Linked DNA regions of Anolis sagrei. The protein of the gene in region 1 purifies or fractionates together with the protein of each later gene. This does not show direct contact. Links are inferred from orthologs where the notes say so. Each region holds a gene or a part of one and is shown on either strand. Other genes may lie near its edges. The genes, in order: ITPR1 and ERLIN2.

Region 1 (12,339 bases):
TATATATATATATATATAGTGTCAGTATTTGCAAGGCTTTCTAAACACACTGATTTTCTTTTTTGTGAAATACAGCTGAAGCATCTTCTGCAGAGTCTACTTGAAACACTCCACAACAGAAATGTGTAAATGTCTGAAATAGCCATTAGGTGGAGTTCAGAAAATGTTTACTCTTGACAATTTTTTTAGGACCTCAACATAGGGCCCATTTGGGGTCAGGACCTACTGTTTAAGAAGCAGTGCTTTAGAGGAGCTAATGGGAATATGGAATTAAATCTTGAGTCCATGTGCACTGAGTACATAAGCTAGTGGATTACTCGCTGTCTTCTTCTTCATCATCATCATTACCATCATCATTTGGTGTTGCTTTAGAAATAACTTTCACAGTAGTGGTTCATACTGTACAAAACGACTTTCAAAAGCTAGGCAAGGCAGTGTACAATCCAAGTGACAAACCACTTAAACAAGCAAGCTTACATTTAGATAAGATTACTGCTCTTGATTCAACAAGCACTGGATTAAATGAAGTGCTGTGTATTGTTAGCAAAGGTAGTTGCTGAGCTATAGCTGTGAATGCTTTGCTGGAAATTAAGGTAATCAAACATAGCCTGCTATTCCAAATACAGACCCTGCACATCTTAATCCACACATTTGATTCTCTTCGTCTGTGGGGGCCCTTTCACACAATGCAATCATAGTACTATGGTTCACTTTAACTGCAATGGGTCTATCCTATGGAATCCCAACATTTAATTTTGAGAAGGGGAATTTACACTTCTCAGGCAGGGAGACCCACTGTCTTATGAAACCACAAATTCATGTATTCCATAGGATGTAGTTATGCAGTTTGTGGAACCATAGTGCAATCACTGTGTAGTGTGAAAGGGTACCAAGTGAACTGACAAACTGACTAGTCTGCTTGTGACAAACCAGCATATCACATCCTAAGCAGAGAGCAGGGTAAGGTATTTTGACAAGGGAAATTTTGACAGGGGAGATATTTTGACAGGGGAAATAGGGCAAGAGAATTCAAATGGCCATATGCTGGTGAACATCTGTCTGTCAATGAATTAAAGTAATCATCTGGGTCTGCTTTCCTGTCCACTGTGATTATGCTGCACTGTGAAAGTTTTCTAGTGAAAGGCTCAAAAACAGATCTGCTATCCCCTTTTTGTGACTCTTCTTCAATGGAGATCCCTTCTACACTGTCCTATATTCCAGGATCTTATCCCAGATTATCTGTTTTGAACTGGATGATATGAGTCTACGCTGCCACATAATCTGGGATAAGAAGATAATAAGAAGATCGTGGGCTATAGAGCTATGTAGAAGGGACCATAGTTGGTGTGGAAGAGTGAGCTATTTTTCAAAGAAGTTGTCATAATAGGATCGTCTACAGTTTTGAATTAATGCAGTTTGACACCACCTTAATTTTTATGACTCAGTGCTATTCAATCATGGGAGTTGTAGTTTTATCAAGCTATCAGCTCTCTCTGCTGAAGAGTTTTGGTGGGTCACCTAACTACAATTCCTAGGATCCCACAGCATTAAGTCACAGCAGTTAAAAGTGTTGTCAAACTGGTGCTTATTCTATATTGTGGAAAACCTTTAGCTGCTGATTTCCTCAGACCAAGCTTCTATTAAAAGCACAAGCAGCAAAGTGCGCGCATGTGTGGGAAGAGAGCAGTCTGGTCTTTAGAAAGGATTTGGACAAATCCACAGAAGAAGGAGTTCATCAAAAGATATTGGCTGCAATAAAGACATTGAATGTTTGATGACAGGCAAAAATGCCAATACAACTTGGGAAAAGAGGTGTAAGTTTCTAAATAGTGGAAAATTTAGAGCAGATACAGACTGAGCCTCCCTTATATGGAAATCTGAAATACTCTAAAATTTGAAATTATTCACATTAGGTGGCTGAGACAGTGATACCTTGCTTTCTGGTGGTTCAATATACACCAACCTTATTTCAGGGACAGTGATCAAATGTTGCATAAAATTACCTTCCTAATACCTAAAAGATGTATGTTGTTGTTTATTTGTTCAGTCGCCTCCCTTCAACTACACCCAAGAGTATTGAAGGAACTAGCGAAAGTCATTTCAGAACCATTGGCAACCATCTTTGAGAGTTCTTGGAGAACGGGAGAAGTCCCAGCAGATTGGAGGAGGGAAAGGTGGTCCCAATCTTCAAGAAGGGAAAAAAGGACGACCCAAACAATGACCGTCCGGTCAGCCTCACATCAATATCAGGTGAGATTATGGAAAAGATTGTTAAGGAAGTGGTCTGCAAACACTTAGAAACAAATGCGGTTGTCACTAATAGTCAACACGGATTTATCAAAAACAAGTCATGGCAGACTAATCTGATCTCCTTTTTCGATAGAGTTACAAGCTGAGTATATGCAAGATACTCCACTTGGGCAGAAGAAATGAAATGCAAAGATAAAGAATGGGGGACAATGCCTGGCTCGAGAGCAGTATGTGTGAAAAAGATCTTGGAGTCCTCGTGGACAACAAGTTAAACATGAGCCAACAATGTCATGTGGCGGCAAAAAAAGCCAATGGGATTTTGGCCTGCATCAATAGGAGCATAGTGTCTAGATCTAGGGAAGCCATGCTACCCCTCTATTCTGCCTTGGTTAGACCACACCTGGAATACTGTGTCTAATTCTGGGCACCACAATTGAAAAGAGATATTGACAAGCTGGAATGTGTCCAGAGGAGGGTGACTCAAATGATCAAGGGTCTGGAGAACAAGCCCTGTGAGGAGCGGCTTAAGGAGCTGGGCATGTTTAGCCTGAAGAAGAGAAGGCTGAGAGGAGACATGATAGCCATGTATAAATATGTGAGGGGAAGTCACAGGGAGGAGGGAGCAAGTTTTCTGCTGCCCTGGAGACTAAGATGCGGAGCAATGGCTTCACACTACAAGAAAGGAGATTCCACCTGAACTTTCTGACTGTGAGAGCTGTTCAGCAGTGGAACTCTCTACCCCGAATTGTGGTGGAGGCTCCTTCTATGGAGACTTTTAAACAGAGGCTATATGGCCATCTGTTGGGGGTGCTTTGAACACAATTTTCCTGCTTCTTGGCAGGGATTGGACTGGATGGCCCATGAGGTCTCTTCCAACTCTATGATTCTGTAATTCATGACCTCATAGACCAGCCCACGCCAGAGCTCCCTGTTGACCGTCGCCACCCCCAGCTTCAAGGACATGCCAGTCACTGCAAGGATACCATCCATCCATCTTGCTCTTGGTCGGCCTCTCTTTCCTTCCATTTTCCCCAGCATCATTATCTTCTCCAAGTTTTCCTGTATTATCAATATGTGGCCAATAATATCAATATGTGGCCAAAAATAAATATGTAGTTTATTTTTGCCTCTATTATCCTTCCCTCCAATGAGTAGTCGGGCTTTATTTCCTGATGTATGGACTGGTTGGATCTTCTTGCGGTCCGAGGCACTCTCAGAACTTTCCTCCAGCACCACAGTTCAAAAGCGTCTATCTTCCTTCACTTAGCCTTCCTTATGCTCCAGCTCTTGCATCCATAAGTTACCACAGGTAATACTATTGCTTTAACTATGTGGATCTTTGTTGCCAGTCTGATGTCTCTATTCTTAACTATTTTATAGAGATTGGTCATTGCTCTCCTCCCAAGAAGTAAGTGTCTTCTGATTTCCTGGATGAAGTCTGTGTCTGCAATAATCTTTGTGTCTAGAAATACCAAGTCTGCCACTGCCTCCTTGTTTTCTCCCTCTATTTGCCAGTTACCAATCAGTCTGGTTGTCATAATCTCAGTTTTTTTTAATGTTTAACTGCAACCCAGCTTTTGCACTTTCTTCTTTCACCTTGATTAGAAGGCTCCTCAACTCCTCCTCGCTTTCAGACATCAAAGTGGTATCATTTGCATATCTGAGGTTGTTAATGTTTCTTCCAGCAATTTTAACTCCAGCCTTGGATTCATCAAGCCCTGCACATTGCATGATGTGGGTGAGAGTATACAACCTTGCCGTACTCCTTTCCCAATCTTGAACCAGTCTGTTGTTTCGTGGTCTGTTCTTAGTGTTGCTACTTAGTTATTATACATATGCATATGAAACACAAACAAATTTCATGTTTAAACATGAGTCCTCATCTCCAAGACATCTCCCAATAAGCATATATGCCAATACAGATATCTGGGAAAAAAAAGTCCCATATCCAAAGCATTTCTGGTCCCAAGCATTTCAGATGAGGGATATTCAACCTGTATATTTTAAAAAGCATTTGTTATAGATAGCCACTGCCAGAGAGAGTTTAAAAAGTGACAGATTCTTGGAAGATCAGATGAGAAATCCACCAGTGGTTCCAGTATTGAAAGCATTAGGTATTTGCACATCAATTGCTGGCAAGCATAAGATAGAGAGGCCGCAGAATTGTTCCCATGCCTTTCTGGCAGGATGGGAGTGTTTATTCCAATACCTCATAAGAAGAGCTAAGCTAGATCAAACCAAAGAGTGATCTAATCCATCATATTTAATACTTTTATCTACACCGTAGAATGAATTGAGTTTGACACCACTTTATCTGCCCAATGCTATGGAATCAACGGGAGTGGTAGTTTTACAAAATGTTAGTCTTCTTTGTCATAGTGCTTGTGACTTACCATACTACAAATCCCAAGATACTATAGCATTGATTCATGGTGGTTAAGTGCTGTTAAACTGCACTAATTCTACAATGTAGATGAACCCTTGGTTGAGACCCAAAGTGGTTTGCAACATTAAAAACAATGCAATGTGTTGTCGAAGGCTTTCATGGCCAGAATCACTATTGCTGTCAGTTTTGCGGGGTATATGGCCATGTTCTAGAAGCATTCTCTATTGATGTTTCACCCACATCTATAGCAGCAGGCATCCTCAGAGGTTGTGAGGTTTTTTGGAAACTAGGCAAGTGGAATGTCCAGGGTGGGAGAAATAACTCCATAGATATATAAACCCCACTTGCCTAATTTCCAGCAGACTTCACAACCTCGGAGGATGCCTGCCATCAGGGCCGTAGCCAGAAAAAAAATTTCGGGGAGGGTTGAAATTTCAGGGAGGGTTTTTGAAAATTTGGGGGGGGGGGGGTTGAAACCTGCCTCCAACTCATGCTGAAGCCAAGAGCACAGCGGGGGGCAGAACAGCCTTCAATAGCCTGCAGCTCCGCCCCTGTCAACCACCTCCACCAAGTCTGGCCTCCTTGATGAGAGCTTTCATCACCCCCCCCCAACTTGGTTGCTTCACTACATGGGCTATTGCTGCAAGTAATGACAGTGTGAATAAATTGTCGATATTTGCTTGAGAGAGTGCTTGCAGTTCTGGAGGGACTCTTAATTTTTTGCATCTCATAGACTTAGCATGGGGATTTGGTTAACCAGTTAAAATTCATGAGCAAACCAGGTTTTTTTTAAACCTGAAAATTTTCGGGGGGGGGGGGGGTTTGAACCCCTACCCCCCCCCCCCCCGGCTACAGGCTTGCCTGCCATAGATGTAGGCAAAACATTAGGAGAGAATGCTTCTGGAACGTGGCCATACACCTCAGAAAACTCACAGCAACCCAATGCAATTGTAGACTCATAGAATCATAGAATTGGAAGAGGCCATCCAGTCCAACCTCCTGCCAAGAAAGAGGAAAATTGCATTCAAAGCACCCCCGACAGATGACCATCCAGCAATTTAAGAGCTACAATATATACATACTTTATATATCTTTAATTCAATCACTTAAAGCAAGCAAAACAATTAAAATAATGAAAACCCTATAGAGCAACCAAGAATAAAATCCCAAACACTTCTGGTCCCCAAAGTTTCAGATGAGGGATCCTCAAGCTGTATCTGTATCTAACTTCCTACACAATTCTCTCACTTTTTTTCTCTCTGGTCGACCCTGAGGTCAACGATTTGGCTTTCTGTTGTCATTCCTTTTTAAAAATACACACACAGATACACAATCACAACGGGGTTTCGATGCATATTACTCATGTGTGCTGCCTCGTACTGCAAACACTCACAGATGGTTGAAATTCTTGGCTTGTGCAAGGAAGCGGGGGAGGGATGAGGAGTTGTCAGTCTATATATAAAAAAAGTCTTGAGAGAAAGCTCCCAAATAAATGTCTCTTTGAATGAATATAAAACAAAAGGTGGGGGGGGGGGCGCAAGGGAGGATCTTCTCCACTCCTTTTATTTATTTATTTATGTTAATATTGGAATGTAGAAGGGGGGAGCCTTTGCCCGCCGGGGATTGGTTGACGGCAGGGAGAAAAGGCTCCTCTCGGCCAATCAGCGCCCCAGAAAGAACTTCGGCGTTCGAGAGACAACATTCCTTTTGATCTGATACACACTCACGCAGAAGAAGAAGAAGAAGAGACGCTGCTGCCCCGCTCGCCGAGACTCTGAAGCAGCCCACCCTGAGAGCCCGGTGCATGCTGGGAGCTGTAGTCCCCCCGCGGCGTTCCATCCGCGAGAGCGGGCGGGGGAGCGGGCCGGCCCGGACTACATTGCCCAGGGAGCCTGTCGGGAGTATATAATCAGCTGCAGGGAGCTGGCGAAGTGCAGTAACCATGTGGATGTTGAGCTAGCAGGGTGTTTGGCAGAGGCAAAGGGAGGCTGGCTGAGCAACCTCCATCCCTGGCGGAACCGGGCAGGGGCCGAAAAGGGGAATATGGGATTACCAAGAGGCTGATCAGTCACCCCAGGATTTAAGAGGAGTCCCTTATGCAACCAGGTAAAGCAATAGGGTGGGAGAGGAAATGAGGATGGGGTGTTTTCTCTCCTCACAGAGGATGTAGCTCTGGCTTATGGTGCATCTACACTGTGGAGTTAGCGCAGATTGATACCGCTTTAACTGTCATGGCTCAATGCTATAGGATCCTGAGGTTTGTGGTGCATCTACACTGTGGGAAAATGCAGTTTGATACCGCTTTAACTTATATGGTTCAACACTACGGAATCCTGGGGTTTGTGGAGCATCTACACTGGAATTATTGCAGTCTTATGCCGCTTTTACTTCTATGGTTCAATACTATGGGATCTTTGGGTTTGTGGAGCATCTGTGGGATTAGTGCAGTTTGATACCACTTTAACTTCTATGGTTCAACACTACGGAATCCTGGTGTTTGTGGAGCATCTACACTGTGGGATTAGTGCACTTTGATATCACTTTAACTTCTATGGTTCAACACTATGGGATCCTGGGTTTGTGGGGCATTTACACTGAGGAATTAGTGCACTTTGATACCAATTTAATTTCTGTGGTTCAACTGGGGTTTGTGGGACATCTACACTGTGGATTAGAGCAGTTTGACACCAGTTGGAACTGTCATGGCTCAATGCTGTGAAATCCTGGGATTTGTAATTTTGCATCTGTATTGTAGGATGAATACAGTTAAGTAAATACTACTTTAGGTGCCATGGCTGTATCTATACTATGGGATCCTGGGATGTATAGTGTTATAAGGGGTGCATCTACACCAGGCATGGGCCAACTTGGATCCTCCAGGTGTTTTGGACTTCAACTCCCACAATTCCTAACAGCCTATGGCTGTTAGGAATTGTGGGAGTTGAAGTCTAAAACACCTGGAGGGCCCAAGTTGGCCCATGCCTGATGTACACAGCGTAGAATTAATTTGTGGTCGCTTTAACTTCAATGGCCCGGTAGTATTATCGGATCCTGAGTGGTGGTAGTGCATCTACACTGTTGAATTAATGCAGTTCTGCACCACTTCATACTGCCGTGGGAGTTGTAGTTTTACTTTCTCCCCCTTTGCCAAAGATTCTTGTTGCCCCTCCAAACTATAACTCCCAGGATCCCATAGCAATGAGCCATGGCAGTTGAATTGGAGTCAAACTGCATCGATCCTACAGTGTAGATGCACTAGCTGTGTCCATTAAAAACCCATATTGGTTTGTGTGCCTTCCCTTTCTTACCAGATCACCCAGATGCCTGTTTCTGCAGCAAGGATTTGTAGGGTGTTTATTTATTATTATTTTGGAAGTAAAGAAAAGAAAGCAGCAACAGATTTTTCTTTATTTTTCTGTCTCTGTTCAATCCCCGCCCTAAGTTTGCAACAGTTTGTTTGCTGTTACTGTTTTATGTTACTGTTTCTGCATCTTTTTTTGTATTTTATGTGTTGCACCTTTGAGTGCTTTGTAAGCTGTCCCAGGTCCTTCTGGGGTATAAATAAATAAAGTTTAAATCTATTATTATTATTATTATTATTATTAACAAGAAAGCATTTGTAGCTGCAGGGAGACTTGAAAGGCGATCTTGGATTGTTATTGTTCATTATTTTTGGAAGGGAAAGATGTCCTTAACTGGCTCAAAAAAACAACAACTTCATGGCTTTGATGCAGCAAACTATAAAAAGCCATTTAAGGAGGATGTGAGTTGGGGTTTTTTTTCTGGGGAAAGAGGGAAAGTCAAAAAAGGGATTAAGCCACAGATGGTTCTGCCCAACAGGTAGGTCTGAATAGTCTGGTTACAGAGACATCCCCTCTTCCCTTGGGTTTCCCTTGACATCTTAAGCAGGAGCAACAGCGCCAGGGTTTGCTTTCTTGCCAGGTTGCGTTCCTTGGCAGCAAACTTTTGACATCTGGGGCCGCGACAGGCATTTCAAAGTTATTAACTCAATTGCTTTTGTTTCAAATGGAGCCGGAGAAAGCAGACAGCCCCTTGGCTCCGGCCAGTGTGGAAAAAGGATGCCTGTGGAAGGGTGGCTCAGGGTGCATCTACACCAGGCATGGGTTAACTTGGGCCCTCCAGGTGTTTTGGACTTCAGCTTCCACAATTCCCAAGTTGGCCCATGCATGTGCTATTTTGACATACTCATTTGCATATGCTTTCTGACTGGCCAGCCTCAACATTCTAGCATACTTAAGTGGCTGAGGGGGGAAAGGAAGGGGCCTGAGGCTGTGAGGAATGGGGGGAGTTGGAGTCCAAAACACCTGGAAGGCCCAAGTTGGCCCATGCATGAGCTATCTCGACCTACTCATTTGCATATGGTTTCTGATTAGCCAGTTTCAACATTCTAACAGGCTTAAGTGGCTGAGCAGCAAAAGGAAGGGGCCTGAGGCTGTTAGGAATGGTGGGAGTTGGAGTCCAAAACACCTGGAGGGCCCAAGTTGGCCCATTCATGAGCTATCTCAATCTACTAATTTGCATATGGTTTCTGATTGGCGATCCTCAACATTCTAACTTTCTTAAGTGGCTGAGCAGGAAAAGGAAGGGGCCTGAGGCTGTTAGGAATGGTGGGAGTTGAAGTCCAAAACACCAGGAGGGCCCAAGTTGGCCCATGCATGAGCTATCTCGACCTACTCATTTGCATATGGTTTTTTATTGGCCAGCCTCAACATTCTAGCATACTTAAGTGGCTGAGAGGGAAAAGCAAAGGGACTGAGGCTGTTAGGAATGGTGGGAGTTGAAGTCCAAAACACCTGGAGGGCCCAAGTTGGCCCATGCCTTATCTACATTGGAGAATTAATGCATTTCTGCTCCACTTGAACTGCTAAGGATCAATGCTATGGAGTCCTGGGAATTTGAGTTTGATGAGACACCAAACTAAACCATTTGTGAAAAATACAAGTCCCAGGATTCTGTGGTATTGAGCCACCACAGTTAAAAGAGGTGCCAAACTGCATTGGTTCTACAGTGTTGATGCAAGCGAAAAGTAGTTACCAGAAAATGAATTACATATTTTTAAAACTCCCTTTGAAATTGAGTTGATGGATTGAGTTGAGGGATTTAGGAGATCAGAGTTAATATGATGAAAGGGGTGACATTTTTTTTTAATCTGCCAGAGTAATGATTCTCAAGCTCTGGTCCTCTAAAGAATATGGGAAGTGGAAGGGTGCATCTCTACACTGTAGAAATAATACAGTTTGACACCATTTTAACTGCTATGGCTCAAATGTTATGGAATCATGGGAGTTTTAATAGCAGGCACTTTTTGGCAGAGAAGGCTAAAGGGGCTTCTAAGACCACAATTCCAACAATTCATAGAATCATAGAGTTGGAAGAGACCTCATGGGCCATTCAGTCCAACCCCCCTGCCAAGAAGCAGGAAAATAGCATTTGAAGCATCCCTGACAGATGACCATCCAGCCTCTTTAAAAACCTCTAAAGAAGGAGCCTTCAACACAGTCCAGGGCAGAGAGTTCCACTGCTGAACACCTCTCACAGTTAGGAAGTTCTAATGTTCAGGTGGAATCTCCTTTCCTGTAGTTTGAAGCCATTGTATCACCTCCTAGGATTCCATAGTATTGAGCCATGGAAGACAAAGTGGTGTCAAACTGCGTTATATTTACAGCATAGATGCAGCCAAAGCACCTGGAAGATCAACATGTGGGAAACACTGTTCCAAAACTTCCTTATGAAGGACAAAATAAAGGGTGTCTATAGTGCTTTCGCAAAAGCAAACTATGTACATGAATATCTTGTGGAGGTTATAGAGATGACTCTTGGAAGGGTCCGAAGGAGAGGTACACCATTATATAAGAGAGAAAAGAGAGCTCTTTGTTTTCTCTCCCTTTGCATGTTAACCATGTGAACAAAGGAAGAGGTGAAGTAAGAAGTGTTTTTTCATGCAACAGGACAAGGAATTTGTGTTATTATAGCTTTACTTTCCCTCTGTGTGAGGGGATGAGATTAAGTCTTGTTTCTGTAGAGTTTAATGTGCATTAAAGGTTTTATAATTTCTCTACGAGGAAATGGTGTGGCCTGGAGAATATATATGTGTGTGTGTGTGTCTATGTATATGTGTATGTGTGTGTGTGTGTGTGTGTGTGTGTGTATATATATATATATGTGAGAGAGTAAGAGAGAGAGAGAGAGATTATTTTTATGTGTAGGCAGCATAGTACTGACAGTTTTATTTTTAGTCATCTTCTTAATAAACCATAGCATGGGATTAGCCAATTTTTATTGCAATGGCACACCAAGATGACGTTTCTTTTTTCATTAAGTTTTTCCACCTTGATTCCCAAATTCTTTTTCTGAGGAACTTGCAAATGGTTCAGATTTCACCTCCCTCTCTCTCTCTCTCTCTCTGCTTAAGCCTGTATCTATATATCTATATATATCTGAGACTGCTTTACTCCATGTGCAGTTATAGTGCACCTGTTTAAAGAGAATCTCATTTGCAGTTTTATAGCCTCTTGATTCATAAAGATCCTTTTGGAACCTTTTCCAATTGCTTTTGATTTTCAGCAATAATTGGATGTTAGCTGCAGGTTTGTCTCCACTCTGAACTGCTTACCTCAGTCAAAAACAAATTAAATAACATTGCTCCCAACAGAAATATTTGCAGTTCTCTCCAGTGCGAAAAAGGTCTGTTTGCTCCTATTGCCTGCTACTTATTTGCCTGTTGATTAGTTTCTCATTCATAAAATAGATGTTGTCTCATACTACGCCTTTGTTTACAGTTATGAGCTTTAGTGATGGACCTTGTCCATCATCCATCCAGTCCATCAAAGACCACCCAATTCACCTATTGAGCTGCAGGGAGAGGCTGGTAATAAAGTCGTCATCATCATTAAATATCATTCTGCTTCCCCTTTTTCAAGTTTAATGGTTCTAATTTTGATAAAGTTTTCCATCATTTTTCATGGGATCTATGTTAGGCTAATGGCCCTGTAGTTTTTCTTTGAGATCCAGTATGGTATAGGGGTGTCAATGTGATCTTATGTCTCTGGAGAACAAGGTTTAAATTCCTCATCAGCCTTGGAAACCCACTGAGTGGCCCTGGGCAGGTCACACTTTCTCAACCTCAAAAGAAGGCTGAATAAGTTTTGCCAAAAAAAAAAAAAAACCTGCATAAAGGGGTCTTCTCAGAGTCGTTGGAAATAGGAAACATCTGCAAGTCAGATAACAAAACCCATTTCCTTGCTCCATTCTGAATCCCAATTGACTCTGTTAGTGTTATGGTGGTTGCCTCTCTGTGAACATGAAGGGAGGATGTTAATTTTATGTTTCTGTTGCACCATACAAGGGGATTATGGTAAGCAATCCTTCACAGTTGAACCAAATAACTGGGATTTCTATCACCTCCCCTGTTTTTTAGTTTGTCTCAAATGCATCCGTAGCCTTTAAATTGTAAAATGGATGCTAAAGGCAAATTCTGTATAATTTTGAAAGCTAAGCATGGTTGGGCATGGTTAATACATGGAAGGGAAAACCTGGGTCTGTAGGCTATATTCAGAGGAAAGCATTGGCAAACAACCTTCCTGTTTTTTTTTAGAGAGACAGACAGGAAACTTGAGGGGACATATTACTGCTGCTATTGTAACTAAGGACTAAAATGAATTCAAATATAAAAAATGTAGGGA
Region 2 (12,531 bases), on another chromosome or scaffold:
AGAGCGGGGAAAGGTTGGGTATAAGCATTAGATTTTCTACTTGATGCTATAGCATTGTGACCTATGAGAATAAAAATGAAGTTACCATATATACTCGAGTATAAGCCGACCCGAATATAACCGGAGGCACCTAATTTTACTAGGGCTGGTCAATTCGTTTCGTTAATTCGTAATTCGTTAAAAAATTCGTTAATTTTTGAATTACGAAACGATTACAAAACATTTTTTTTAACCTGGAAGTGTTTTTAAATATCGAAACGGCAGGCGCCAAAAAATTTTGTATTTCCGTCCATTTCGGAAATACGTAAGATGGCCGCCTGCCGATGCTTGCTGAGAGGGGCGAGCGAGCGGCGAGCGAGAGGGGCGGAAGCACTCTCTCCTGACATTTCACCCACATCTATGGCAGGCATCCTCAGTGGTTGTGAGGTCTGTTGGAAACTAGGCAAGTGGGGTTGATATATCTGTGGAATAATGTTCAGGGTGGGAGGAAGAACTCTTGTCTGCTGGAGGCAAGCGTGAATGTTGCAGCTGGCCAGCTTGATGAGCATCGAATGGCCTTGCAGCTTCATGGTCTGGCTGCTTCCTGCCTGAATGTTGCAATTGGCCAGCTTGCTTAGCATTGCCTATTAATAATAATAGCGAGCGGCGAGCGAGAGGGGCGAGCGAGCGGCGAGCGAGAGGGGCGAGCGAGAGGGGCGGAAGCACTCTCTCCTGACATTTCACCCACATCTATGGCAGGCATCCTCAGAGGTTGTGAGGTCTGTTGGAAACTAGGCAAGTGGGGTTGATATATCTGTGGAATAATGTTCAGGGTGGGAGGAAGAACTCTTGTCTGCTGGAGCGAGAGGGGCGAGCGAGCGGCGAGCGAGAGGGCCCGCCAGAGTGAGTGCCTGCCTTCCCTCCTTAATAATAATTAATAATAATTAATCCCTATTCTACTAAATTAATAATTAAATTTAAAAAATATTGAAAAAATATTGGAAAAAAAAGGGCGCCATCTTTACAAAATGTTTTGTAAATATTTACGAAATTTCGTAAATACCAAAACTTTTTTTTGGGAAAGTTTTGTAATTATTTTAAATATCGAAACAAAAAAAAAACCCCAATTACAAATCGATTTTAGAAACAAATTTTTGCGTTGTTACCCAGGCCTAAATTTTACCACAAAAAACTGGGAAAACGTATTGTGTTCTGGAACAGCTGTACCAGGAGCTCCAAATTTGTTTGCTTTGCATTGAATGTTTGTTGTAGTCCTAAGTTTCAGGGACTCTGCAGATAGGTGGTGTTCTGTTGCCGCTGGAGCCGAAATGAGGTGCTTTTAAGAGAGGATGTAAGGCTTGCATCCAGCGGGAAGCCAAGGGCCCCGAAAAGAAGCCTTTAGGAAAATTCCCCTTATTAAGCAGTCTTTATGAGGCTTGAGCTTAAATATAACAGTTCTTTATTAATGAACAAACAGGAATTGTAAACTTTCTTGTCAGTCTATTAGCTCTTGCAATCTTGTTTACAGGAAACAGGCACTATCTTCAAAAACTTTGCTCAAAGGAAAATTCCCCTTTTTAGCTCCTCCCAGGCTACTGTGAACCTAAACCTGACTGACTTGAGTCCACTACCGGCTGAACTGCATCTCAGAACCTAGCAGACATACCAACAGGCCTGTAGTCACTTAGCTGGAGATGAGCAGAGCTGTTATTCCATCTGGAAGTCCTCAGGGCTGTAAAGCTGTTTCCCTGGAACCTTTTGGGAATCTGTAGAGGCTCTTAAAACTGTTCTCCCCCGGGAAGTCTTAAGAGATGAAGCCTTTGCACAGGAGGATGTTTGTGTACATCCTCTGCATTGACTTCTTTTTTGAGACTGATTGAAAAATGGCCCCTTCCCTCCAAAAAAACCCAGAGAGGGGCGGGACCAGGGAACCTAACTGTTATTGACGACTGGCTTGTCCTATGAATGCAAATTATAACAGGAAGCTACCCTGCTGCAAAAAATGTTGCAAACCAACATTTAATTCAAATAAATAAAATTGGAGCTCCTGGAACAGCTGTTCCAGAACAGGTGGCTTCTTTTGGCTGCAATCATAGGGCAAGCCACCTGTCAATTATAGTTAGGTTCCCTGGTCCCGCCGCCTTTTTGGGTTTTTGGAGGGAATAGGAGCCATTTTTGGGTCAGTCCACACAGAGAAGCTTTCCATGCTCCTGTAGAAAGCTTTGTCTTCTACGGCTTGGCCAGGGAGATATACAGCCCACAGCTTGGCCGAGGATCATACAGCCTTACAGCTCCTTTGCTGAGGGACTTCAGTCAGCCATCACGGAAACCTGAACTCCTTTTACCTTGGAAGTCTACAAAGTTCTGCTTGGTAAGGGTCACTTGCGGAAGCCAGAAGCAGTTGGTACCGGGTGCAGGGGCTCCACGCCAACAGAGGCAAAGACAGACTGCCCAGATTAGAAGTTAAGGATTTCCCCATTAGTTAGTATACAGTTATGAAGATAGTGCCTGTTCCCAGTGAACAAGATTGAGACAGCCAATAGACTGTTAAGAAAGCTTTAAAGTACCTGTTTGTTTTCAGCAATAAAGAACATTGTTGAACCTTTAAGCAATCTAAAGACTCTGTTGTAAGGAAATCCAAAGGCCTTTAATCTGAGGCAGCCTCGGCGTCCCATTGAGCACACAGAATTTGTGTCCTGTCTACAGTCTTATGCACAGGCCCAGCGTGCGACAGCACATATTGACTCAAGTATAAGCCGAGGATTGGAAATGCAGCAGCTACTCGTAGATTTCAAAATAAAAATAGATACCAATAAAATTACGTTAATTGAGGCATCGGTAGGTTAAATGATTTTGAATCGATATAAATAAAAATGTAATGTTGGTTTGTGGGATAAACAGAACTCAAAAACCACTGGACAAATTGACACCAAATTTGGACACAAGACACCTAACAACCCAATGTATGTCCTTTGCTCAAAAAAATTGCTTTTGTCATTTGGGAGTTGTAGTTGCTGGGATTGATTGTTCACCTACAATCAAAGAGCATTCTGAACCCCACCAATGATAGAATTGAACCAAACTTGGCACACAGTTCTCCCATGACCAACAGAAAATACTGGAAGGGTTTGGTGGGCAGTGTCCTTTGGTTTTGGAGTTGTAGCTCACCTACATCCAGAGATCACTGTGGGCTCAAACAATGATGGATCTGGACCAAACTCTACACAAATACTCAATATGCCCAAATCTGAACACTGGTGGACTTTGGGGAAAATAGAATCCTGACATTTGGGAGTTGTAGTTGCTGGGATTTATAGTTCACCTACAATCACAGTGCATTCTGAACCCCACCAACGATAGAATTGGGCCAAACCTCCCGCACAGAACCCTCATGTGGACCACAACAATGTGTGGCAGGGGACAGCTAGTATTTACATAAAACTGTAATTTAAGGTAAGACTGTCCATGTTGTAGTAGAGTCTGTTGGCAACTCTGCAACTGGTAGTAGGCAGAGGCGGCCCTAAGTAATTTTCAACGGTAAGCAAACAGTATTTTGGCGCCCCCCCCCCCCCCCCCAACCAATCATTGATATATATTTTCTATTCATCATGGGAGTTCTGTGTGCCATATTTGGTTCAATTCCATCATTGGTGGAGTTCAGAATGCTCTTTGATTTTAGGTGAACTATACATCCCAGTAACTACAACTCGCATATGTCAAGGTCTATTTTCCTCCAAGAGCACCTCAAGAGCGCCCCAGGGCAAAATCAACTATACTGCAAATACTTACTTTGTGTAATGGGTTGAGCCGCCCCTGGTAGTAGGAGTGTCAGAGGAGGGAAAAGAGGAATTCAGGAACTAGATGAGGAACAACAGAGGAAGAGGATCCGGGAGATGCTTACATTACCCACTGATGAAGAATCCTTCGAGGGGTTTTCCGAAAGTGAAATGAGTGGGGAGGAGGAAGGAGATTCAGTAGATGTGAATCGGGGAACTAAGAGGATTACTCGAGAGCAAGAGTCAGACGAAGAGCGTCGGAGAAAGAAAATCGGGGACATACTTACTGCTCCCACGGAAGAAGAGGATTTCATGGGTTTTTCTGGGAATGATGGGTCTGGGAGTGATGGGGATGAGGAGGAAGCACTAGATTGGACCAAGGTACAAAAGGTTCAGAATGTGTGTACTCAACCAACGTCCAGTGACACATTTGCGGGGTTTTCTGGTGGTGGGGATTGGCAATCGGGTGATACTGTGGGATCCTGGGGAGACCTAAGTCTTGACAAGAGGTGGAAGAGTTGGAGGGATGGGCGTTGGCACTCAGCTGTGGAAGCTAAACCAGCAGAGAGTGATGAGGACGGGGTGGAGGGCAGCTCCACCGCGACAAGAGTTCTTTGTCCCACCCTGGTTATTCCACAGATATATAAACCCATTTTCCTAGTTCCAACAGCCCTCACTACCTCTGAGGATGCTTGCCATAGATGCAGGCGAAACGTCAGGAGAGAATACCTCTAGAACATGGCCATATAGCCCAAAAAAACCCTACAACAACTATTATTATTATTATTTCTAACACTTCTACCCTGCCCTTCTCAACCCTCGAAGGGGGACTCAGAGCGGCTTACACTAGTAGCAAGTCAATGCCAAAACGTAAAAAACAGATACAATAAATATATGCCTGTGAAAAAGTTTTGTTGTTGTTTATTCATTCAGTTGCTTCCGACTCTTCGTGACTTCCTAGACCAGCCCAGGCCAGAGCTCCCTGTCAGCTGTGGCCACCCCCAGCTCCTTCAAGGTCAAGCCAGGCCCTTCAAGGATGCCATCCATCCATCTTGCCCTTGGTTGGCCCCTCTTCCTTTTTCCTTCCATTTTCCCCAGCACCATTGTCTTCTCTAAACTTTCCTTTCTTCTCATGATGTGGCCAAAGTACTTAATCTTGGCCTCTAATATCCTTCCCTCCAATGAGCAGCCGGGCTTCATGTTATGGCAGTGTGGACTAATATAATATAATTACAACACCGCCTGAGCTCTGCAAGTGCAGCATTTTCCTGAATGAAGCAGAGAGTGTTTGAGGACCAGGACATCCATAGGGATACCAAGGTGCTTGTCTATAAAGCCATTGTCCTCCCAACACTGCTATATGCCTGCAAAACATGGACTGTCTAAAGGCATCACATGCAACTCCTGGAACGATTCCATCAGCGCTGCCTCCGGAAAATCCTGCAAATCTCTTGGGAAGACAAGCGGACAAACGTCAGCGTGCTGGAAGAAGCAAAGACCACCAGCATTGAAGCGATGGTCCTCCGCCATCAACTCTGCTTGACCGGCCAAGTTGTCCTGGAGGAGACGTGGTTTTAAAAAGGGAATTTTCAGATATTTCCCCAATGCCCATATGTCATGATTTACTGCCATATTGGCCTATTTCTGCAGTAGGCCTATGTTCACAGAAAATGCTGATTGTTTGAGAAATCAGTGCTCCAAAGAAGTTACTATTCAAGGATAACAGCATATCCGGACAAAACCAGCTAGCTGTTGGCTAGTTAGAACCCCCAAGTTTCCCAGTCGCTCTGAAGCCATGTTTGCAACACACTAACAGATAAGATACAGTCATGGTCAGAGAACAATGAACCATAGTTATGTTATAGTTGTGCCATTGTTAGGATCCCACGTGTGCTATAATGTCAATCAAAATCATAAACAACTGATGAACAACTGCATAATTAACTTAGACCAATGAAATGATTTGTCTTTGGAAACCAATGAAAATGTATATTCCATTTACTATAAATGCTCTGCAGTCCCATTGGGGGTTGCGACAAACCCTTTGATTGCATCCCTGTATGCTTGTTTGTCGTTATTGCTATGGCCACGCAATAATAAATAGTTTTTTGCAGTTTAAAGGATTCAACTTTCGTGGTGTCCATCCTTGCCCTCCCTATTGGAAAGGGGGCTTCTGCCTTTTGGGAAATATTTTGGTTTCGTTGCCCCTACAGTCCGAATGCCCGAGCACCATCTCCCAAAGCAGCTGCTCTACTCCGAACTCAAGAACGGAAAACACAATGTTGGTGGGCAAGAAAAGAGATTAAAAGATGGGCTCAAAGCCAACCTTAAAAACTCTGGCATAGACACTGAGAACTGGGAAGCCTGGTCCTTGAGTGCTCCAGTTGGAGGTCAGCTGTGACCAGCAGTGCTGCAGAATTTGAAGAGGCACGAATGGAGGGCGAAAGGGAGAAATGTGCCAAGAGGAAGGTGCGTCGAGCCAACTTCGATCGGGATCGCCTCTCACCTGGAAACCAATGCCCTCACTGTGGGAGAAGATGCAGGTCAAGAATAGGGTTCCACAGCCACCTACAAACCCACCCCCAGGATACCGAACTTGGAGGACCATCATCCTCGGACTACGAAGGATCGCCTAAGTAAGGACTAATAATCCAGTTCAAAGCAGATCACCTGGATTCAGAAACTGGGTGATATATAGCAGTTGAATATAAATCCAGCCTGCTTTGAATGTAAAAAGCAGCTTGCTCCTAATTGGAGAGAGGAAGAGGTGGGATCGTGAACTCTTTTCCTTCCTTGGGGGGCTTTTGAGCAAAACTGGACGCTGGCCATCTGTCGGGAGGGCTTTAGTTGTGTCACAAAGGGGTTGGACTGGATGGCCTTTAGAAGTCCCTCCCAACTCGAAGGCTAAGGGATCCTGAACTCTTTTCCTTCCCTGGGGAACTTTTGAGGAAAAGCTGGACGCCGGCCATCTGTCGGGAGGGCTTTTGAGGAAAAGCTGGATGCCGGCCATCTGTTGGGAGGGCTTTAGTTGTGTCAGAAAGGGGCTGGGCTGGATGGCCTGTAGAAGTCCCTTCCAACTCGAAGGCTAAGGAATCTTGAATGCTTTTCCTTTCCTGGGGGCTTTTGAGCAAAGGCTGGACACCGGTCATCTGTCGGGAGGGCTTTAGTTGTGTCAGAAAGGGGTTGGACTGGATGGCCTGTAGAAGTCGCTCCCAACTCAAAGGCTAAGGGATCTTTAACTCTTTTCCTTCCCTGGGGGCTTTTGAGCAAAGGCTGGACGCTGGCCATCTGTCAGGAGGGCTTTAGTTGTGTCAGAAACGGGTTGGGCTGGATGGCCTTTAGAAGTCCCTCCCAACTCGACGGCTAAGGGATCCTGAACTCTTTTCCTTCCCTGGGGGCTTTTGAGCAAAGACTGGATGCTGGCCATCTGTCGGGAGGGCTTTAGTTGTGACGGAAAGGGGTTGGACTGGATGGCCTTTAGAAGTCCCTCCCAACTCGAAAGCTAAGGGATCCTGAACTCTTTTCCTTCCCTGGGGGCTTAGCAAAGACTGGATGCTGGCCATCAGTCAGGAGGGCTTTAATTGTGACAGAAAGGGGTTGGATTGGATGGCCTTTGGAAGTCCCTCCCAACTCGAAGACTAAGGGAACCTCTGCAGCTCTAGCTTTCAGGCCAGAAGGAGAAGAAGGGAAAGCCTGGCCTGGAGACCTAAGGGGAGAGGAAGGGAGGAAAGGGGCGGGGCTTAAACGTCAGAACGTTCTAAGCCGCGGCGGCGAAGGCTGATGCCGTCACAAAGGCGACAACCCGGAAGTGGCGGCCACAGGGCGAGCAGGAGCTGCAGGCGGAGCAGGTGGTGAGTGAGTGAGTGAGTGGAGGCGGCTGCTCTTTCCCTTCCTCTTCCTCCCTCGTTGCCCTCCTCTCTCCCGAGGAAAGGGCTCTTCTTTGCATTTCCCTTTCTTTCCTCTCCCGCTTTCCTTTGGGTTCAGAGTTCTCGCAAAGGAATGCAACTCGACGCCTCTTGAAACCGCCATGGGCTCAATGGAATGGATCCCCAGGAACTGTAGTTTGGCGAGGACTCAGCAGGCCGTGGTCCTTGCAAAACTACAACTCCCAAGACTCCATAGCATTGGGGCGCAATGGTTGAAGTGACTCAGGGTTAAGGGATCCTGGGAGTTGCAGTTTGGTGAGGTCCAGAGTCTGTCTGGTTGAGCAGTTTAAAAGCCTCTCCCTAAACAACAACCCCCTCCCTAAACTACAAAACTTCTCCCTAAACAACAAAGCCTCTCCCTAAACTACAAAGCCTCTCCCTAAACAAACCCTCTCCCTAAACTGCAACTGCCCCTAAACTACACCCCCTCCCTAAACTACAAAGCCTCTCCCTAAACTACAACCCCCTCCCTAAACAAACCCTCTCTATAAACTGCAACCCCCTCCCTAAACCACAAACCCTCTCCCTAAACTACAGCCCCCTCCCTAAACTACAAAGCCTCTCCCTAAACTACAGCCCCTCTCCCTAAACTACAGCCCCCCTCCCTAAACTACAGCCCCCCTCCCTAAACAAACCCTCTCCCTAAACTGCAACCGCCCCTAAACTACAGCCCCCTCCCTAAACTACAAAGCCTCTCCCTAAACTACAGCTCCCCTCCCCAAACAAACCCTCTCCCTAAACTACAGCCCCCTCCCTAAACTACAGCCCCTCTCCCTAAACTACAGCCCCCCTCCCTAAACAAACCCTCTCCCTAAACTGCAACCGCCCCTAAACTACAGCCCCCTCCCCAAACTACAAAGCCTCCCCCTAAACTACAGCTCCCCTCCCTAAACAACAAACCCTCTCCCTAAACTACAACCCCCTCCATAAACTACAGCCCCCCCTCCCTAAACTACAGCTCCACTCCCTAAACTACAGCCCCTCTCCCTAAACTACAAAGCCTCTCCCTAAACTACAGCCCCCTCCCTAAACTACAAAACCTCTCAAAAACTACAGCCCCCTCCCTAAACTTCAGCCCCCCTCCCTAAACAACAAACCCTCTCCCTAAACAACAAACCCTCACCCTAAACTACAACCCCCACCCCTAAAGTACAAAACCTCTCCCTAAACTACAGACCCTCTCCCTAAACTAAAACCCCCCTCCCTAAACTACAAACACCCTCCCTAAACTACAGACCCTCTCCTTAAACTACAAACCCTCTCCCTAAATTACAACCCCCCTCCCTAAACTACAAACCCTCTCCCTAAACTACAGCCCCCCTCCCTAAATTACAGCCCCCTCCCTAAACTACAAAGCCTCTCCCTAAACTACAGCTCCCCTCCCTAAACTACAACCCCCCTCCCTAAACAACAAACCCTCTCCCTAAACTACAGCCCCTCCCTAAACTACAGCCCCCTTCCTAAACTAAAAAACTCTCCCTAAACTACAGCCCCCCTCCCTAAACAACAAACCCGCTCCCTAAACTACAGCTCCCCTCCCTAAACAACAAAGCCTCTCCCTAAGCTACAGCCTCCCTCCCTAAACTACAAAGCCTCTCCTTGAACTACAACCCCCCTCCCTAAACAACAAAGCCTCTCCCAAACTACAACCCCCCTCCCCAAACTACAAACCCTCTCCCTAAACTACAGCCCCCTCCCTAAACTACAAACCCTCTCCCTAAACTACAAACCCTCTCCCTAAACTATAACCCCCTCCCTAAACTACAAAACCTCTCCCTAAACTACAACCCCCTTCCCTAAACTACAAACCCTCTCCCTAAACTACAGCCCCCCTCCCTAAACAACAAACCCCAGAGTCCTACAGGAGGCATAAACTGGATTTAAAGTGGATCCATGCTCTAGTGTGATGATGTCCCTTGTAAAACTACAATTCCCAGGATTCTGTAGCACTATTGTATTTATTTATTTATCGTGTCAGGAGCGAACCAAAACTGTTGCATTGCATTAAAAACAAACAAACAACCAAAAAACAAAGTTTGCAAACTTGATGTTCTATTAAATGTCCTGGCCACTTGGAGTGCCTCTGGTGTTGCCGCAAGGAGGTCCTCTATTGTGCATGTGGCAGGGCTCAGGTTGCATTGCAGCAGTTGGTCAGTGGTTTACTCTTCTCAGCACTCGCATGTCGTAGATTCCATTTTGTGGCCCCATTTCTTAAGGTTGGCTCTACATCTCATGGTGCCAGAGCACAGTCTGTTCAGCGCCTTCCAAGTCGCCCAGTCTTCTGTGTGCCCAGGGGGGAGTCTCTCATTTGGTATGAGCCATTGATTGAGGTTCTGGGTTTGAGCCTGCCACTTTTGGACTCTCGCTTGCTGGGGTGTTCCAGCGAGTGTCTGTAGATCTTAGAAAACTATTTCTTGATTTAAGATGTTGACGTGCTGGGTGATACCCAAACAGGGGATGAGCTGGAGATGTCAATGCCTTGCTCCTTTCACTCTTGGCTGCTGCTCCCCAGTGGATGTCAGGTGGTGCAATACCTGCTAAACAGTGTAATTTCTCCAGTGGTGTAGGGTGCAGACACCCCGTGATAATGTGGCATGTCTCATTAAGAGCCACATCCACTGTTTTAGTGTGTTGAAATGTGTTCCACACTGGGCATGCATACTCAGAAGCAAAGTAGCATATTGCAAGGGCTGCTTTGTGATATCAAACCTGGGGTTTGATCCCCAGGCTGTGCCAGTCAGCTTTTGTATGATATTGTTTCTAGTGCCCACTTTTTGTTTGATATTCAGGCAGTATATCTTGGTTGAGGTGACTCAGTGCTATGGGATCCTGGGAGTTGAAGTTTGGTGAGGCACCAGAACCCTTTGGCCGCGGAGGCACTAGAGCTTGGATCCACTTTAAATCCGGTTTCTGCCTCCTGCAGAATTCTGAGATTTGCAGTATTATTATTATTATTATTATTATTATTATTATTATTATTATTATTACCATCTCCTCTAGGAGACTCAGTGCAGCTTACAAGGGCAAGCCCAAAAAACAATTAAAACACACAAATAAAACACCAATTAAAAACATCAGATAAAAACAATGCAACACAATTATACACAGCGTAAGAGCAATATGGCTGAAAAGAGCTCCCTGTCGGCTGTGGCCACCCCCAGCTCCTTCAAGGGCAAGCCAGTCACTTCAAAGATACTATCCATCCATCTTGCCCTTAGTCTGCCCATCTTCCTTTTTTCTTCCATTTTCCCCAGCATCATTGTCTTCTCCAGGTTTTCCTGTCTTCTCATTATGTGGCCAAAGTATTTCATCTTTGCCTCTAATATCCTTCCTTCCAGTGAGCAGTCAGGCTTTATTTCCTGGAGTATGGACTGATTTGATCTTCTTGTGGTCCAAGGCATTCAAGGAGGTTAAAGGGTAGTATTTTCAAGAAAGCTTCCTAAATCGGATGTCCTGTACATGTACACTATTGGGCCACAAGTCTAAGAATCTCTACAAAGTGGTGATGTTGAAGATCAAATATATCTGGAGATCTTGGGGTGATGTAGCAGGGGGAGCTACTCAAACACTGTTTGTTGGCCTTTGGAATTCCTGTTTATCCACTTTCTAGTTATGATATCCCATCAGGTGGTGCCAGGGTTTTATGATGGGTTAGGTCAATCTTTTGTGCTCTGTTTACCAACTTATAAAGAATACCTCACTTGTTTGTCGATAGAATGCTGGGTAAGACAGAATTCATCTGATAGCAAGGAAATTTACTTATTGATTCTCTGTGTGTATCATGAATCAGAACACACTGTGGTATCATACAGAGTTTCATAATACACTGGGATGAATTGTTCTTTTATTGCTTTTGTGCCTCTCTCTGATTTCCTTTCTTCTTACTCTCTCCCAGGTTACACTCTCAGGGATGACTCAGTTGGGTGCCATAGCAGCTCTAGCTGCCAGCCTGGTGGCAGCTGCTCTTTTTTCTGCAATACACAAAATTGAAGAAGGGCATATTGGTGTTTATTACAGGTGCGTGCTTGTCTTTGGGGTGAGTTGCAGAATCTAGCTGTCTGTTGTTTGGTCCCAGCAGTCTTCCAAATCAGATTCGAGGACACGTTGTTCTGTGACTTCAACTAGACAGCATGGGGTCTTTTTGTAACAAAACTCTTCTTTTAGAACAGCCTTCCTTGGGAAGTTTAGTCTGGTGCCATCCTTGGGACCTTTTTAGTCCATCCAGGTCTTTTGAATAAATTGTGTAATCCGAACTGTTAGACTTTAATTTAAGACCATGCATTTTAAATTATAATTGCTATGAATTTCAGTTTCATTTATTCTGCTTTTGAACTATTTATTTATTTATTTATTTTACCGTGTTTGTATTCCGCCCTTGTCACCCCTCAGGGGACTCAGGGCGGATTACAATGTACATATACATGGCAAATATTCAGTGCCATAGACACACAACGTATATAGACAGACACTCAGAGGCTATTTAACATTCCAGCTTCTGGCCACCAGGGGAGCTGTCGCTTCACTGTCCGTTTGTGACACTGATGGAGTACTTCCTCATTCTTTTTGCATGCTGCTGGAGAGTTTTATGGTATCATAAATTAGCCTCCCCGCATAAGCGGTACCTAAATTTCCTACTTGACAGATGCAACTGTCTTTTGGGCTGCAAAGGTCGACAACAAGCTACACAATATTGGTCAGGAGCTCACTCTGACCCGGGCTGGCTTCGAACTCATGACCAGTAGTGATTTTAGTGCAGCTGACTCCCAGCCAGCTGCACCACAGTCCCGGTATTAAAAAAAAATCAACAACTCTAAAATCAGGACATTAAATAAAGAACAACATTCAAAAAC

What was found.
Region 2: the proteins of ITPR1 (region 1) and ERLIN2 purify together in Homo sapiens (affinity purification with western blotting, with the first as the bait; 4 studies listed by BioGRID). This does not show direct contact. The link is inferred for Anolis sagrei from reciprocal best matches to the Homo sapiens genes ITPR1 and ERLIN2.

The regions. Positions count from the first base shown.
Region 1 is NC_090022.1:45,930,207-45,942,545, forward strand, and holds the start of ITPR1 (inositol 1,4,5-trisphosphate-gated calcium channel ITPR1), read left to right. Parts: upstream 1-6,367; 5' UTR 6,368-6,742; intron 6,743-12,339. UniProt on the Homo sapiens protein: Inositol 1,4,5-trisphosphate-gated calcium channel that, upon inositol 1,4,5-trisphosphate binding, mediates calcium release from the endoplasmic reticulum (ER).
Region 2 is NC_090027.1:11,306,542-11,319,072, reverse strand, and holds the start of ERLIN2 (erlin-2), read left to right. Parts: upstream 1-7,506; 5' UTR 7,507-7,606; intron 7,607-11,576; 5' UTR 11,577-11,591; coding exon 11,592-11,698; intron 11,699-12,531. UniProt on the Homo sapiens protein: Component of the ERLIN1/ERLIN2 complex which mediates the endoplasmic reticulum-associated degradation (ERAD) of inositol 1,4,5-trisphosphate receptors (IP3Rs) such as ITPR1.